Linked DNA regions of Mus musculus: regions 2, 3 and 4 are each reported to be linked to region 1. Evidence: microRNA targets listed by miRTarBase, many of them from high-throughput screens and not tested one by one. Region 1 holds a microRNA gene; each other region holds the end of a gene's coding sequence.
What was found. The annotated mature microRNA mmu-miR-466k reads UGUGUGUGUACAUGUACAUGUGA and lies in region 1 at 1,488-1,510, opposite strand. An mRNA with a match to its seed (bases 2 to 7 or 8) in the 3' UTR can be bound and repressed. Matches are read on the target gene's strand: a 7mer-m8 pairs with bases 2 to 8, a 7mer-A1 pairs with bases 2 to 7 and ends in A, and an 8mer does both.

Region 2: miRTarBase lists Krt222 as a target of mmu-miR-466k. Seed matches in the 3' UTR shown: 7mer-A1 at 1,057-1,063, 8mer at 1,058-1,065, 8mer at 1,060-1,067, 8mer at 1,062-1,069, 8mer at 1,064-1,071, 8mer at 1,066-1,073 and 5 more.
Region 3: the mRNA of Gm14137 is a reported target of mmu-miR-466k. Seed matches in the 3' UTR shown: 8mer at 1,994-2,001, 8mer at 1,992-1,999, 7mer-A1 at 1,984-1,990, 8mer at 1,982-1,989, 8mer at 1,980-1,987, 8mer at 1,978-1,985 and 15 more.
Region 4: miRTarBase lists Podn as a target of mmu-miR-466k. Seed matches in the 3' UTR shown: 7mer-A1 at 410-416, 8mer at 408-415, 8mer at 406-413, 8mer at 404-411, 8mer at 402-409, 8mer at 400-407 and 19 more.

What each region holds. Positions count from the first base shown.
Region 1 is chr3:85,465,652-85,468,905 of GRCm38, reverse strand. Mir466k (microRNA 466k) reads right to left here and starts at 1,529; the gene lies at 1,408-1,529. All of the region lies in intron 1 of Gm31419 (a long non-coding RNA gene), which reads left to right.
Region 2 is chr11:99,232,007-99,235,260 of GRCm38, reverse strand. It overlaps Krt222 (keratin 222), which reads left to right. Exons shown (of 6, transcript NM_172946.3): 6 at 114-2,500. The coding sequence ends at 342. Among named protein-coding and RNA genes, the nearest start is that of Smarce1, 2.6 kb to the right of the region's middle.
Region 3 is chr2:119,175,039-119,178,292 of GRCm38, reverse strand. Gm14137 (predicted gene 14137) reads right to left here. Exons shown (of 1, transcript NM_001039223.4): 1 at 725-3,254. The coding sequence ends at 2,786. The region is part of intron 10 of Dnajc17 (DnaJ heat shock protein family (Hsp40) member C17); the gene reads left to right. Among named protein-coding and RNA genes, the nearest start is that of Gm14137, 2.2 kb to the right of the region's middle.
Region 4 is chr4:108,015,019-108,018,272 of GRCm38, forward strand. It overlaps Podn (podocan), which reads right to left. Exons shown (of 13, transcript NM_172874.4): 12 at 2,689-2,886; 13 at 1-677. The coding sequence ends at 2,715. Among named protein-coding and RNA genes, the nearest start is that of Podn, 15 kb to the right of the region's middle.

The DNA.
Region 1 (3,254 bases):
AGCTGCAGGGTGATAGCTAGGATTTAATTGCCCTTCCTAAGATGCAGCTCAGTAGAGTGAGGTGAACTAGAGTCTTTCTATATACATGTCTCTGAGGACAAGACTCACAACAGCTTCCACGTTACCCAGGACCCAGTTGGACCGTGGACACTCAGGCTTCACCACAGACCTCCTGGCCTTATTTCCTGGGGGTTGGTGTGCACAATCAGCTCCAGGAGAGCCAATCAAGTCCTTGTGGATGTCATGTCTCAGTGTCCTCTTTATTAGGATGTCACAGGTAAATTCCTGTGGCTGGTGCCAAGACAAACTGCCTAGAACATTTTATTTGCTGGCTTGCTCTGATTAAAGTGGAGAACGCACTGCACTTTCTCGTTTGTGGTCACCTGCTAAATCTTTACCTTATTTCTGGTGTTGCCTAACACAGCGTCTCATACACAGCAGAAGAGAAAGAGTCACTAAATGAATGAATGAATCTATTTCCTATTTCCTTCGAAATTTGAGCCTCTGCACAGGCTGAGATGTACTGGCGTGCTTTGTGTTGTTGTTGGAGGTGGAATCTGGGGTCTTGTATATGCTGGGCAAGTGTTTCATCATTGAGCTATAACCCAAGAGCTAAAAAACTTGTTCCGGTGGCATTAGGGTAGCAGACAATTTTTGGGGAAATGAAGTTTGTTTCCAGAAGGCCTAGGGCTGTGGAATCCTGGGTATAATGGATGCTTAGAAGAGAAGAGATGACTTCAGGTCTCAAGGACTGAGGACATGTCCCTAGTTTTCAGTGACTGGCTTTTATACCACCAGAAGCTCTGCACACTCTGTACTGACCCTTTTCCTGTGAACTTCCCTGTGTAACATTTGTTCCTCTGTTTTATCAGCTGAATGATGGAACCTCACAGCCAAGAACTTTGAGAGGTCAAAAGGACCTGGCTGCTTCCTGCAGGTGGCAATGGCTTCCTTTCTTCTTCAGCCTTTAGACAGTTTGGATTTCAAATTATTCCATCACTTTCTAGAACATTCCAGATCCAAGCTCTCCTCTCCTATCACAGATGTATTCTGCAGCGCTGGGCCTCTCTACTGCATGTGGTTGTGGGAGAAGAAAGCCGCTGAGGTAGTTGAAGCCATGTTTAGCTTTTAGTTCTGTGAGGCAAGAGGGCCAGGACAGAGCATTTCCCCTTCCCTGTCAAGATATCAGCACCTGCTTGGGAAGCCAGAAGATGGAGGAGTAAAAAAGCTCCTGTTCCTCGGGGGCTTGCAGGTAAGGTCACGGCCAGTGCAGAGGTGCCAGTCTTCTCCTGCCCTATAAGGCTGCTGCTACCTGTGAAAGATCAGTGCAGTTGCTTACCTGTCACCTAGGCCAGATGGAGACACAGCCATCGGAGTCACAATTAGTAACACCTACTCACCATACACACACATGCACATGCACACATATACACATATATTCACATACTCACACACATGCACATGTACAAACATATACACACACATACTCACATGTACATGTACACACACACACACACACACACATATATATGTATATACACACCTGCACACACACACACACACACACACACACACACACACATATCAATAGAGAACATGCATATACACGTACATGCACTCATGCACATGCACACCCATGTGTATATGCACACACATACATACACATATACACATATGCATGCACACACACACATACACTTATTTCTATAGGAGGGTGTACATGAATGTATATCACATGCACACATGTATATGTGTGTGAATATAGGTGAATATACAGCCCCTCCCATCCTGGAAACTAGCACATTCATATAAGACACCATAATACAGCTTTTCAATATTTTCTTTTCTGTAAGAAAGTAGGGAATTGACTGAAGTCCAGGGCTGTTGCAGTTCAGAAGTTCGGCTCTTTATCTAAATGTGGCCCTGAGAGTTAGGCAGCAGATGGAGGTAACATGGCAGCTTCCAGGGCTTGGAGTCAATGACTTCAATGAACAAAAACAGACACTTTCTTTTACTCGCTCCATTGAGAACATGACCACACATTCCTGGCTCACAGGAGACCCCTAAATCTGGAGGCCACTCCACGATGTCTCCTCATCCTTAAAGTAGAAAGTGGGACTGCGGAATCTGTCATGTGCTCCATCTTGGGCCACTGATGGGGTCTGTGTGAGATGAGATCTGATTTGCCTCGGTTATTCTGGGATGCACATTGGCTACTCTGCCCACTTCATCCATTCTGAGCTACTACCAATCTCCATCCTTACAGGCAGCAGCCAATTTGAAACGTACAGTTGTATACTCCCACTTCAGGTTACTTTTGCCAACACATATTACCTTATGTTTATTTGAGTTAAGTTTCGTCTGCCTGCAGGCTGCACAATCCCCCAAAGTGTTCCGATGCACCTGGAATTTCTTGCAAATCTTCTCTGTTTTTATTAGCCACAACAGTTTGGAACTAGTTGAAACCTCTGGGAAGAGATTAGACAACAATTACTGCCCGTTGCTCATGTAATGTCTGGCCAGGTACATGAGCCAGCAGGCCTTGCTTGGCGGGGTGGGGGTGGGTGGGCATGATAGCATTTCTATCCACTGGTCTGTCTTTTGAACTCTCAACTCTGGACAGGTACCAGGGAGCCAGCCTATCCTTGGGGTGTATGTCTACACAGGGGCATAGAGCTGTCTTATTTACAGGTTTTAGAAGCTACTGCTCTGGAGCCAAGGGAATGTGTGTTATCAAGGCCCACTCTGTCTGGTCCCCTTGGATATTACAGAAAGAAGGGACAGAAGAAGAGAGCCGAGGGAGGGGAAGGAAGCTTGCAGCACTGCTCGCTATGCTGGGTTCTGTAAAATCAGGTGATTAGACATGGGAGGAGGAAGGACAGAAGTATCACCCTTCGGACTCCTCTGGAGAGGCTGAGACATCACCATGGTCACATCCTGGAATCTGGGAATGAGGACTGGTTGAGGCTGGAAGCCACTGTCCTCAAGACCAGGTAGGACATCAAGGACCAGTTCCACGAGCCAGGATGGAGGAGGTGAAGCGGGCTGCTGCTTGCGGAAAGCAGCTTCTGTGAGCAAGGCTGGTGTGTGGGCAGCAGCTTAGGCTGAACGGATCCCAGAGCGTTCCAGCGAGCTAATCTTGTCAGCCTCAAGCTGTTCCACAGACAGTGGGTGTGAATCCAAAGCCATCTTAGATGCTCAGCTCTCAAATGTTTCTTTTAAGAAAATAAAAAAAGAGAGATTGAAGGTACACC
Region 2 (3,254 bases), not on the chromosome of region 1:
AACTGTTAAAATCCTACACCCTATACATTATACACATTTCTCTTTCATGAATATGAACTATACATTGCGTCTATTTCTTCTTCTGTAAAAACGAGTTTGTTTTCTCATTTCAGGACAGAGAAAGTGGATGAAGTTATAAAAGAATGGGAAGGTTCATTCTTTAAAGATAACCCTCGACTGAGGAAAAAGTCCGTCTCTCTCCGGTTTGATCTCCATCTAGCAGCCACGGATGAGGGCTGTTTAGAGAGTAGACAAGATAATCTGCCAGATATCGAAGTCAGACTTATCATGAGAAGATCCTGCAGTATTCCCTCCATCAAACCCCCACCAGGAACCAACTAACCCAGAGAGAGTGTTTAGCAAGGGCACCAGGATGGACCTATGTAGGCCATACAGACCCCCAGTCCCAAGTGTAAGTTATTTTACATGGATAGATAGTGTTAAGATGCTGTGGGCTCTGGCTCTCTTCAGAGAACACATAAGTAAGAGATGCTGCAGCTAGGACTCCAAAGATGAGCAGGGGTTTTTTGCTGTTTTGTTTTGTTTTGTTTTTTGAGAGGGGCTGCTTAAAAATAAATCAGAAATCCAGTGTGGATTCTGTTTTATTTGTCATCTAAATAGTCTTTATTCTGGCGAGCTTTATCAGAGACTTTAAGTATTAAGGTGGCTTCATTAAGCCTGTAATTTTCCTCAAAAGCTAAACATCCCAAGGAAAACAAAATAGCTTGTTTGAAAACTGAAGAGCTACGGTGAGTTACTCTCCGTGGTTTCAGGACCAGCTGAACCTAGAATGTTCCACTTCTAAAAAGGCAGCAGTTAGGAACAAACTGTTTAAGGAGCAGACTCAGTATTCACTTAGGACTTTCCCTTTTGAGACAATCATTTGAACCCTGGGAATGACGAAGTGTTCCATCCATGAGCGATTCTGAATGGACTGTAGAGCACTCTCCAAGGCAATTTTGATTATTAATAAAATTGGGTTACTCTATATCTTTATCTTAAAGCTTTTTAAAAATCAGTATCGGGAGAGTTAGTTTGTTGAAAGTTAAAGGTTGTACACACACACACACACACACACCCGGACATACACACACTCCAGCTGTACAAACCTTTTAAAGCACATTGAGATTGTGGTGAATCCAGTTACCAGGACAGTTACCCAGCTGCTCACCATCTGCAAAATGAAGTGTGAGTAGCGTGTGCTATGGGCCTGAGAGGAAAGAGTCTATGAACTCAGAGAAATAGTCCTTGCAGTCATTTCTGTGAGCTAACAGCATAGTACTGCTATCTGAGCTAAGAGTGCCTGCAGAACTTGATTTTAAATTGTTCAAACTGTAATAAATAGAGATGTAAAATATATTTGTGAATAAGTGAAAAATTGTTGCAAAGTTGTTTTCTGGTTTTGTTTTTAATTGTTATTATTTACTTGCTATACATATATGCTTGCACCCCAGAAGGAGGGCATCAGATCTCATGACAGATGGTTGTGAGCCACCATGTGGTTACTGGGAATTGAACTCAGGACCTCTAGAAGAGCAGCCACTGCTCTTAACCTCTGAGCCATCTCTCTAGCCCCATTGCAAAGTTTGTTTTGTTTTTTAAAAAACAACCTAAATTTGTTTAATGCAGGTACATTTACTTTGAGACCTTAAATAGTAGATATCTGTTTTACGACATTTAGATATTTTAGGCTTTTTTTTTCCTAAACAACAACAAATAAGGAGTACAAACCATTGGCCACTGTTCTTTGTTCTCAGCTCAAGTATCATCTAAGGGCTACAGCTATATTAGCATTTTAGTGGGGCCTTCAAAGCCCACCCTCCTCTCCCCCTCCCTCCCTCTCCACATGTGTGTATATATGTTGACTAGTAAATATGCTTTAGCCACAAGGAACTTACATTAGTTAGCTTTTAGTGTAATCCAGAGGTTTAACGTTCCCCTTTTTCATTACTCCAGGTTGCCTTCAGCCTGACTCACTCTAGTTAGTGAGTAAAAATGAACGATGCTGTTCTTCAATGTTACAACAGCATATTAAGCACTTATTCTTGAATAAGCGCCTGACCTAAAATTGCATCCTACACATTAAATGTTTCTTTCAGGCTGGGGGTACCGCAAGGTGGCAGAACTTCACCTAGCACATAGGAGGCACTGGGTCTGGACCTCAGGGAAAAAAAAAAGGGAGGGGGAGTATTCATCATTAAATGCTGCTACTTTATTAAAGCTTTGACTGCAATCATATTAGCCATTGTACTGGTTACTGCATTATGCAACAACAATTACGATAAAGCGATACATTTAGTGCAATCTACTGCAGTGTTGGGACTGGGCATTGTGAATTAACAGCTTGCTAGAGAAGTTCCACTGTGTGGCTATTCTGTGTGTAACATGCAGTACTTGAATTTGTAAATGAGTTTTGTTTGCTTTGAGGCATTTTAAAATCAGAATATGAATTTACCAAAGTAAATGATGCCACCATAATAAAAAAAAATTTAAACATGAACTCTAAGGCTTCCTTGTATTTGGGTTCTCCTATTTCAAAGATGTCTGTGCATGGTTAAGCCAAACAAAGCTAAATCACTTGAGGAAGACAGCTCCAGTGATAGGAGATGAAGGGTTTAACTTGGTTTCCAAGATAAATTAAGGATTAAGTTTTAAAATCCAGCTAGGTGCTGACAGTACACACCTGCGATCCCAGCTCGTGGAAGGCAGAGGAAAGATTTTGAGTTCCAGACCAGCCTGAACTACGTAGTAAGATCCTACAAACACACACACACACACACACACACACACACACACACGCATCATAACCATAATTATAAAATCCTATAATTCTGGGGAGATATAATAGTAGACAGCATTATTTGAAAAGTGCTGCAGGCCGGGTGTGGTGGCGTACGCCTTTAATCCCAGCACTCGGGAGGCAGAGGCAGGCAGATTTCTGAGTTCGAGGACAGCCTGGTCTACAGAATGAGTTCCAGGACAGCCAGGGCTACACAAAGAAACCCTGTCTCGGAAAACCAAAAAAAAAAGAAAAAAGGAAAGGAAAGAAAAGTGCTGCAGGACCTGTTCGGGACCCTGGATTCAATCCCTAGCGCCTCACAGAAGTAAAAAGAACAAGAAAGAATGCCATGCCGCTGTCCACTTAGAACTCAATCAATTCCCCTTTTTTAAGCCAATTTTGTGCCAGCCCTTTCCCACCACAGCATGCAGACACCGCTGAGTTTCAGAGAACTAACTGCCCAGCTGGGAATGGC
Region 3 (3,254 bases), not on the chromosome of region 1:
CAGGGCAAGGAGAGAGCTAACTGAAACTTCAGAGCCTGACCTCAGTGACATGCCTCCTCTCACAAGGCTCCACCTGCTAATTCTTCCCAAACAGTTCCACCAACTGGGGACCAGGCATTCAAACATCTGAGTCTATGGTGGCCATTGTCATTCAGTGTCCCAGGTCCTGATGGAGGAGGAACATGAATGATGTAGAGGTCAGCCCAGGATCCTGTAGCTGCCTTTGCTACTCTGTGGGTTCTTTCTTCCATCCTTCCCCAGCCTTTTCTCCCACCCTTTCAACCCTCTAACAGTAGATGGAGAAAAAGAGGGAAGAGAGGAAAGGAAAGAGATCCCTGACTAGGGGCCCCAAGAGACTTCATCAGTCAGGATAGCACATTTCTTTTCCTTAATGTTTGTTCTTTGCGCAAGACTACTTAACCACCGTGCCTCTCGGGGCCCAGAATATATACTATATATTCTCTAAAAAGGCCCCAGAATTCCAAGTGTGACACAGTTGCAGAAACCATCTGCAGCTGGCACAACCACGCCCCTGCTAGAGACAAGCTGCATAGTCAGCTGTGGACAGCCCCATGCCACACGGGGGTTAAAGTGAAAGCATAGTCAGATTTCTGTGCTTTTTAAAAAGAAACCAAGGTTCTCACTACAAGATCCTAGCTTAAAAGAAGCCTCATTCCCCACTAGAAAGTTTCAGCATTTCACATCCAAGACCATACTCTGTAGGTCATATTAGAAAAACCTTTATTGGTTGCCTCCTGTTTCCAGAGGAGGCTTGAAGCTGAGTACCTCTGCACAGGAACAGGAAAGAGAGATGTCACAGATGTGGATTTATCAGGCAGTGTGTGTCACAGCTTCCTTTACCCTTCTTTCACACTTGAGTGACCTGGAGGCCAGACCCACATGGTCCAGTGCTTCTGGGCTCTGGATTCAGATCTGACCCAGCCACAGGGCAGGGAGTAGCACAGTTTGTAGCCTTGCCCTGTCTTGGGCCTGGTGGAGGATCCTGGAGCCTCTTGGTGGTGCATTGTCCTTTCTGATCTGGTTATCCCTGTACTGTTCCTGCAGCCTTTCCCAGAGGTTCCACATACAATGCCTGTGGAAGTTCCCAGAGCACTCCTTTGCAGCTGCTGGTTCCAGGAGCTTCTTCCTAGAGTACTTGCTTACAGATCTGTGGGAAGCTTGAGTCTCATGCTGTGTTTGCTAATGATGTTAGGCCTTTCCCCTGCATTTTCCTCTGTCTACCTCTCCTGCTGTCAGCCCCTCCTGCACCTGCAGCCCAGAGCTGGCAACTTTCCTTCCTTGCCCAAGCTTCTGATGGTTACATACTGTGTCTGGCCAGCGCCATCCAGTGGACTTTGGTCTAACAGTGTCGGTGTTTATGCTCTGTCATCCAGTACAGTAGCCGTCAGTCAGATGTGGCTGTTGATTTAAAATGTGCCTAAGTGGGCTGGGGAGATGGCTCAGCAATTAAGAACACATACTGCTCTTCTAGAGGCCCTGAGTTCAATTCCTAGCACCCACATCAGGTGGCTCACAACTGCCTGTAACTCTAGCTCCAGGGGCATCCAACACCTTTGCCCTCTGCATGTACCTGTATATACTTGTTTGTGTGCACACACACACACAATTAAGAATAATTTTTGAAAACATCTTTAAAATGTGGCTAGAGGGCTGGCATGTGGCTCATTTAGGTAGAGTACTTGCTTAGCATACATGAAACCCTGGATTTGATCCCCAGTGTCTCATAAAAAAAAACCTGGGTTTGATCACACACACACATGAGTAATCCCAGGCTCCGGAGGTGGAGGTGGGAGGATAAGAAGTTCAAGGCCACCCTCACTACATATGAGACCTCATCTCAAAAACAAACAAATAAAAATTTGCTAGGATGAAAAATAACTGAAATTTTCTTTGTGTTTGTGTCTGGATGGTGTGTCTGTGTGTCTGTGAGTCTGTGTGTGTGTGTGTGTGTGTGTGTGTGTGTGTGTGTCTGTGTGTGTGAAGTGGAGGTCACAGGTTGATTTCAGATGTCTTTCTCAATTGTTCTCGGTGTTTTATTTTCTGAGGCAGGCTCTCTTGCTGGGCCTGGACTGTGCCGATTTGGCAACCTAACCAGGCAGCTGCCCCTGGGATCCCTAGCTTCTCCAACCTGAGCACCAGCATTCCAGATGGGCTAGCATCCCTGCCTGCCTTTTATACTCGGGTACTGGAGGTCTAATCTCAGGCCCTCCTGCTTGCATAGCAAGCACTGTATCCACTGAGCCATTCCTCAGCCTCTGGAGCTGACTTCTCAGTTTGCTTTTCCTTCATTAAACAGTCCTGCGCCGTAAGTGGTGACTTGTCTAGTCCTGCCTCTCTGACCTCCCCACTTCCCTTTCATCTCAGTTAGACTATGTCTTCCTAGACTGGCCTGTGACTTTCTGTTTCTGTGACGTGGTCTTTAGAGGCTGCTCTGCCCAGGCTGAGTCCTATTTCCTGGCTCGCCCCTGTGCCTGCCTGTCTCTCCACTGACCTCTGACTGGTTCCGTGGTTGCAGGTTGGAGTTTCCTTTTCCTGGTCTCTCCAGCTTCCTTCAGGACTCCTGCCAGAAAGTGACTCCCATACATTCCCAGCTGGCTTTTGCCCCTTCACTTTGGGCGACTTGAAGGATTGGTCAGCAGCCAGAGGGCAGGGAGAACTGTGGCTTCTGGTCCCCACCTGTTCTTTAGTCCACATTGTACCTTCCTCGCCTGGGTCCACAGGCGCCATTCCTCCAGTCACCCCAGTTCTCGCTACTCTCACCAGGTCAGAAGTGGGGCTCGCTTGGGAATTGCTCCTTTAGAATCTGCAGAACTTCTTCCAGAAGTGAAAGCCCCAGGTCCACTTTGAAGGAGAGGAAAGGGTCACTGAGGTCCGGAGTAGGTGTCCTCGGGAAGTGGGGAGTGTCCGAAAGGGCCTCCTCTGAGCACTGGTGAAGCGGCCCTGTCAGGGAGATTGCTGAAGGCAGGGTGGCCGAGTAGCCAGCTGTGTAGCTTGCTGGGGGCTCCAGAATGTTGGGGCAGCTGGAGCTCTCTCGGTAGAGGCGTGGGGGCTTGGGTGGGGCCAGTAGGGTGGCTCGGGGATGCTCATCCCCCCACAAGGGCAGACGCCGGCCGTCTGGCCTCCCTTGCAGTTCTCGGATGACTTCCCGGTTGCTGTACTCCTCATGGTCACCACCAGCAGTGCTGGCCTGGCTAAGTATGCTGCCCTGTCGATGCAGTCTCCGTGGCCGCCCC
Region 4 (3,254 bases), not on the chromosome of region 1:
GAAAGTGCCTGTGACCTGCCAGGGCACAACAAAAAGGGACTCCCAGCAGTAGGAGTGCCCAGCACCTGGGGGGAGGAGGTGAGGCTGTGGTCGAAGGCAGAAGGTTCAAGTCCCCATAGGGAAGGCACAAAACAAAAGCCAGCTTTTGCGTCTCAAAGAGTGAAAAGCACCCGGCCACAGAGCAAGGAGACAACCCTGCGTCTCCAAGGGAGGGACCAGAGGACAAGGCACATGGCCAACTGTTTCCAACCAGAGCTGTCTGGAAGCAAGAGCTTTTGGTAGCATAGGTCACTCTGTGTAAGTGAATAGGGGAGAGGGTAGCTGCCTGAGTCTACCAGGCCAGTGTGGACTCAGAGGTGAGGGTGTGTGTGTGTGTGTGTGTGTGTGTGTGTGTGTGTGTGTGTGTGTGTGTGTGTCAGTGTGAGATTGTGCAGAGAGCCAGTTTGGAAGGTCATATGCAGCTGGCTATCTACGTGGCCAAACTGGGGGCGTGGTGGTGAAGTGGTATCTGCACGTGTCTGACTGTGTGACACATTGCTGGAAGGGGTGGGACACGAGACTGTGTTCAGCCCGTGTGACTTTCGGGTGCCTCTTGGGCTCAGCGTTGGGTGTGTCAGAAGGGGGCGCTCATGGGGCACAGGCCTGGGCTGCAGAAAGGAGTCCGGTAGTCCATCGTCCTGTGGAACATGTTGGAGAGTCAGGACTAGCTACAACCAGCCATTGGTGAAGTGGATCAAAGTAAGGGGGTGTCAGAAGCCAGGCTGCTGTGAGTGGGAAGAAGGAGGAGCCCCTGGGAGTGTAGAACCAGGAGGTTCCCAGCTCTGAATCCAGAGCTCCCTGGGGCTTCTTCCAGCAGTCCATTCAGTTGACTTAACCATGGCCAACATTCCACAAAGCGGGAAGCTTCTCCCTCACCCCAGAACTCCACAGTCCTTTTCATGAGAACCAGCAGTCCTCATGCGATAGCAATCACCCTTTCCTGCCGACCCCTGGCTTTTAAGGACTGTGCCTCAGGACAGAGACTCTACCTCGACGGCTGGCCTTGGAGTCAGGTTTGCCCCTCCAGGCTCACAGCCCTGTCACAAATCCTGCTCTCATGAGTGGACACCCTGTCTCCATCATCCGTCCACATAGCTGTCACTATATATCAACAACCCCCCTCCCCCCACTACCAGCTCCCCTCTGTTCCATGTTCTACTTCAAGTCAATATCCTCACTGTGGCCATGGCCACACCCTGGCCTCATAGTTCCCAGCACATTCCCTGAAGTCCTACCTAACCTTAGCCCTTCCGATCACTGCTCTCTGCCTGGACACTTGCTATCACCTCCCAGGTTTCAGCTTCCTCCCCATGCCTCTGCTACCAATATGTCCATCTGCCCCTCCTTCTTACCAAGCCTAGTGCCACAACCTGAACAAAAAGCCAGCCATAAGGAATCCAATTCTGTGCCATGGATAGAAAGCCAAGGTCCTCGGGCTGATGGGATTTGGGACCCAACCATCAAGCCTGACTGTGACGGCAGCCACTCAGTTCCCTGGCCCTCCTTCCACACTGGGACAGTTACCAACCTCCTGCAATCCTTCCAGCAGCCCTCATACCCATGCTGCTCAATGCACTACCCTCCCTCCACAGCATATCCCATGAGCATCCTTGCCACCAGTGCCAAAAGGAGTGCCAAACAGTTTTACCTGAGTTTTACGTGGCCTCCCCTTGGCTACTGCACTCCCTGCCTTCCCAGTCATCCTCTCCACCCCCACCTCTCCCTCAGTTGCTCCCTATGACGTCACAAGCATTCCATGTAGACACATTCAGTTATGGACAGCAGTACCCACCTCCAGACTCTGAGTACTGAAGCAGTTTTAGTCCCCTACCCCCTACATCTAGAGAAGTCCATGAATGTATTAAGTGTGTGTGTGAGTGTGGTCATATGTAAGCCTGTGTGAATAGGTACCCAGACACACCTCCATGCATATATCCATAGGCACATGTGTGCACACAGATATGGGCCTATGATTGTGTCTTGGACTAAAGTATGTATATATGTACACATGTGTAGATGCTTGTGTTACATGTATGTGTATGTATTAACTACCTATGGCTGTCCCCTCCCTCCCTGCCCTAGACAAGCTCTTCTAGCCCCTCAGTATCTAGCCCTATCTCAAGGCCTACAGTGATGAGATTCCCATCTCCAGCCCAGGCCTTTCCTCTGAGCCCCAGACTTAGGAGTCTCTGTACCCCAGAGTATCTCCCAGCACAGTACTCATCTCCCTGAGCTAGAGTAAATGCCTTAGCACAAACTGGCTTCTGTGGGCAAGCAGACACACACACATACACACACACACACACACACACACACACACACATACACACACATACACACACACATACACGCATACACACATACATGTACACATAGATACATACACCTACGCATACATACACACATATACACACATACACACACATACAAACACACATACACATATACACACATACATACACATACAAACACACACACACACACACACACACCTCACATGGTGCAATCCTGCATGCAAACGAAATGACAGGTTTTCAAAATGAAGGGATAGAACAGAGACAGGGTGAAGTTGACACACAGAAAGCCAAGGCAGGTCAGGGACAGCAGGGAGTGGTGAGAGGTGCCTTCACACCCGCACAGACCACCCACCTGGGTTTCATCCATGTCACTTTGTCCTATCTAGTTTCCTCTTCCTCATCTTCCTCTTCCTCCTCTTCTTCCTCTTCCTCATCTTTGTCCTTGGAACCATTACCAAACTCAAAGTTGCCTTCAATGTCCAAGACCTGCAGGTGTTTCAGCCTCCGGAAGGCGCTTTCCACCACGGAGCCCACAGCCAGCTTGTTGAACCTGAGTGGTGGTCCATGGGTCAGCGGCAGGAGGCCTGGCTGATGCCCTCACACCTACCCAGCTCAGAGGGGAAAGGGGGGAGGGGTGGTATTTGGGAGTGCTACAGCAAGTTTTGAAGGGGGTGCGTGAAGAAGCACAGTACACCCCTGACAAAGAGATCTGTCAGGACACCGTTAGCTTGGAGGAAGGGGGTGGCAAAGGCAAGGAATGTCTCCTTCTATGCATAGTCACTTCATGTGCAGAGAGATGCCTCTGCTGCCCTTCCCCACTAACCTCAAGATCTGACTGGCACACAGGCAAGGCCTGGCTGAGCTGTAAGGAACGTACTCAGCCCAACACTGAAGGCCGGGTCATACCACCCAGTGTCA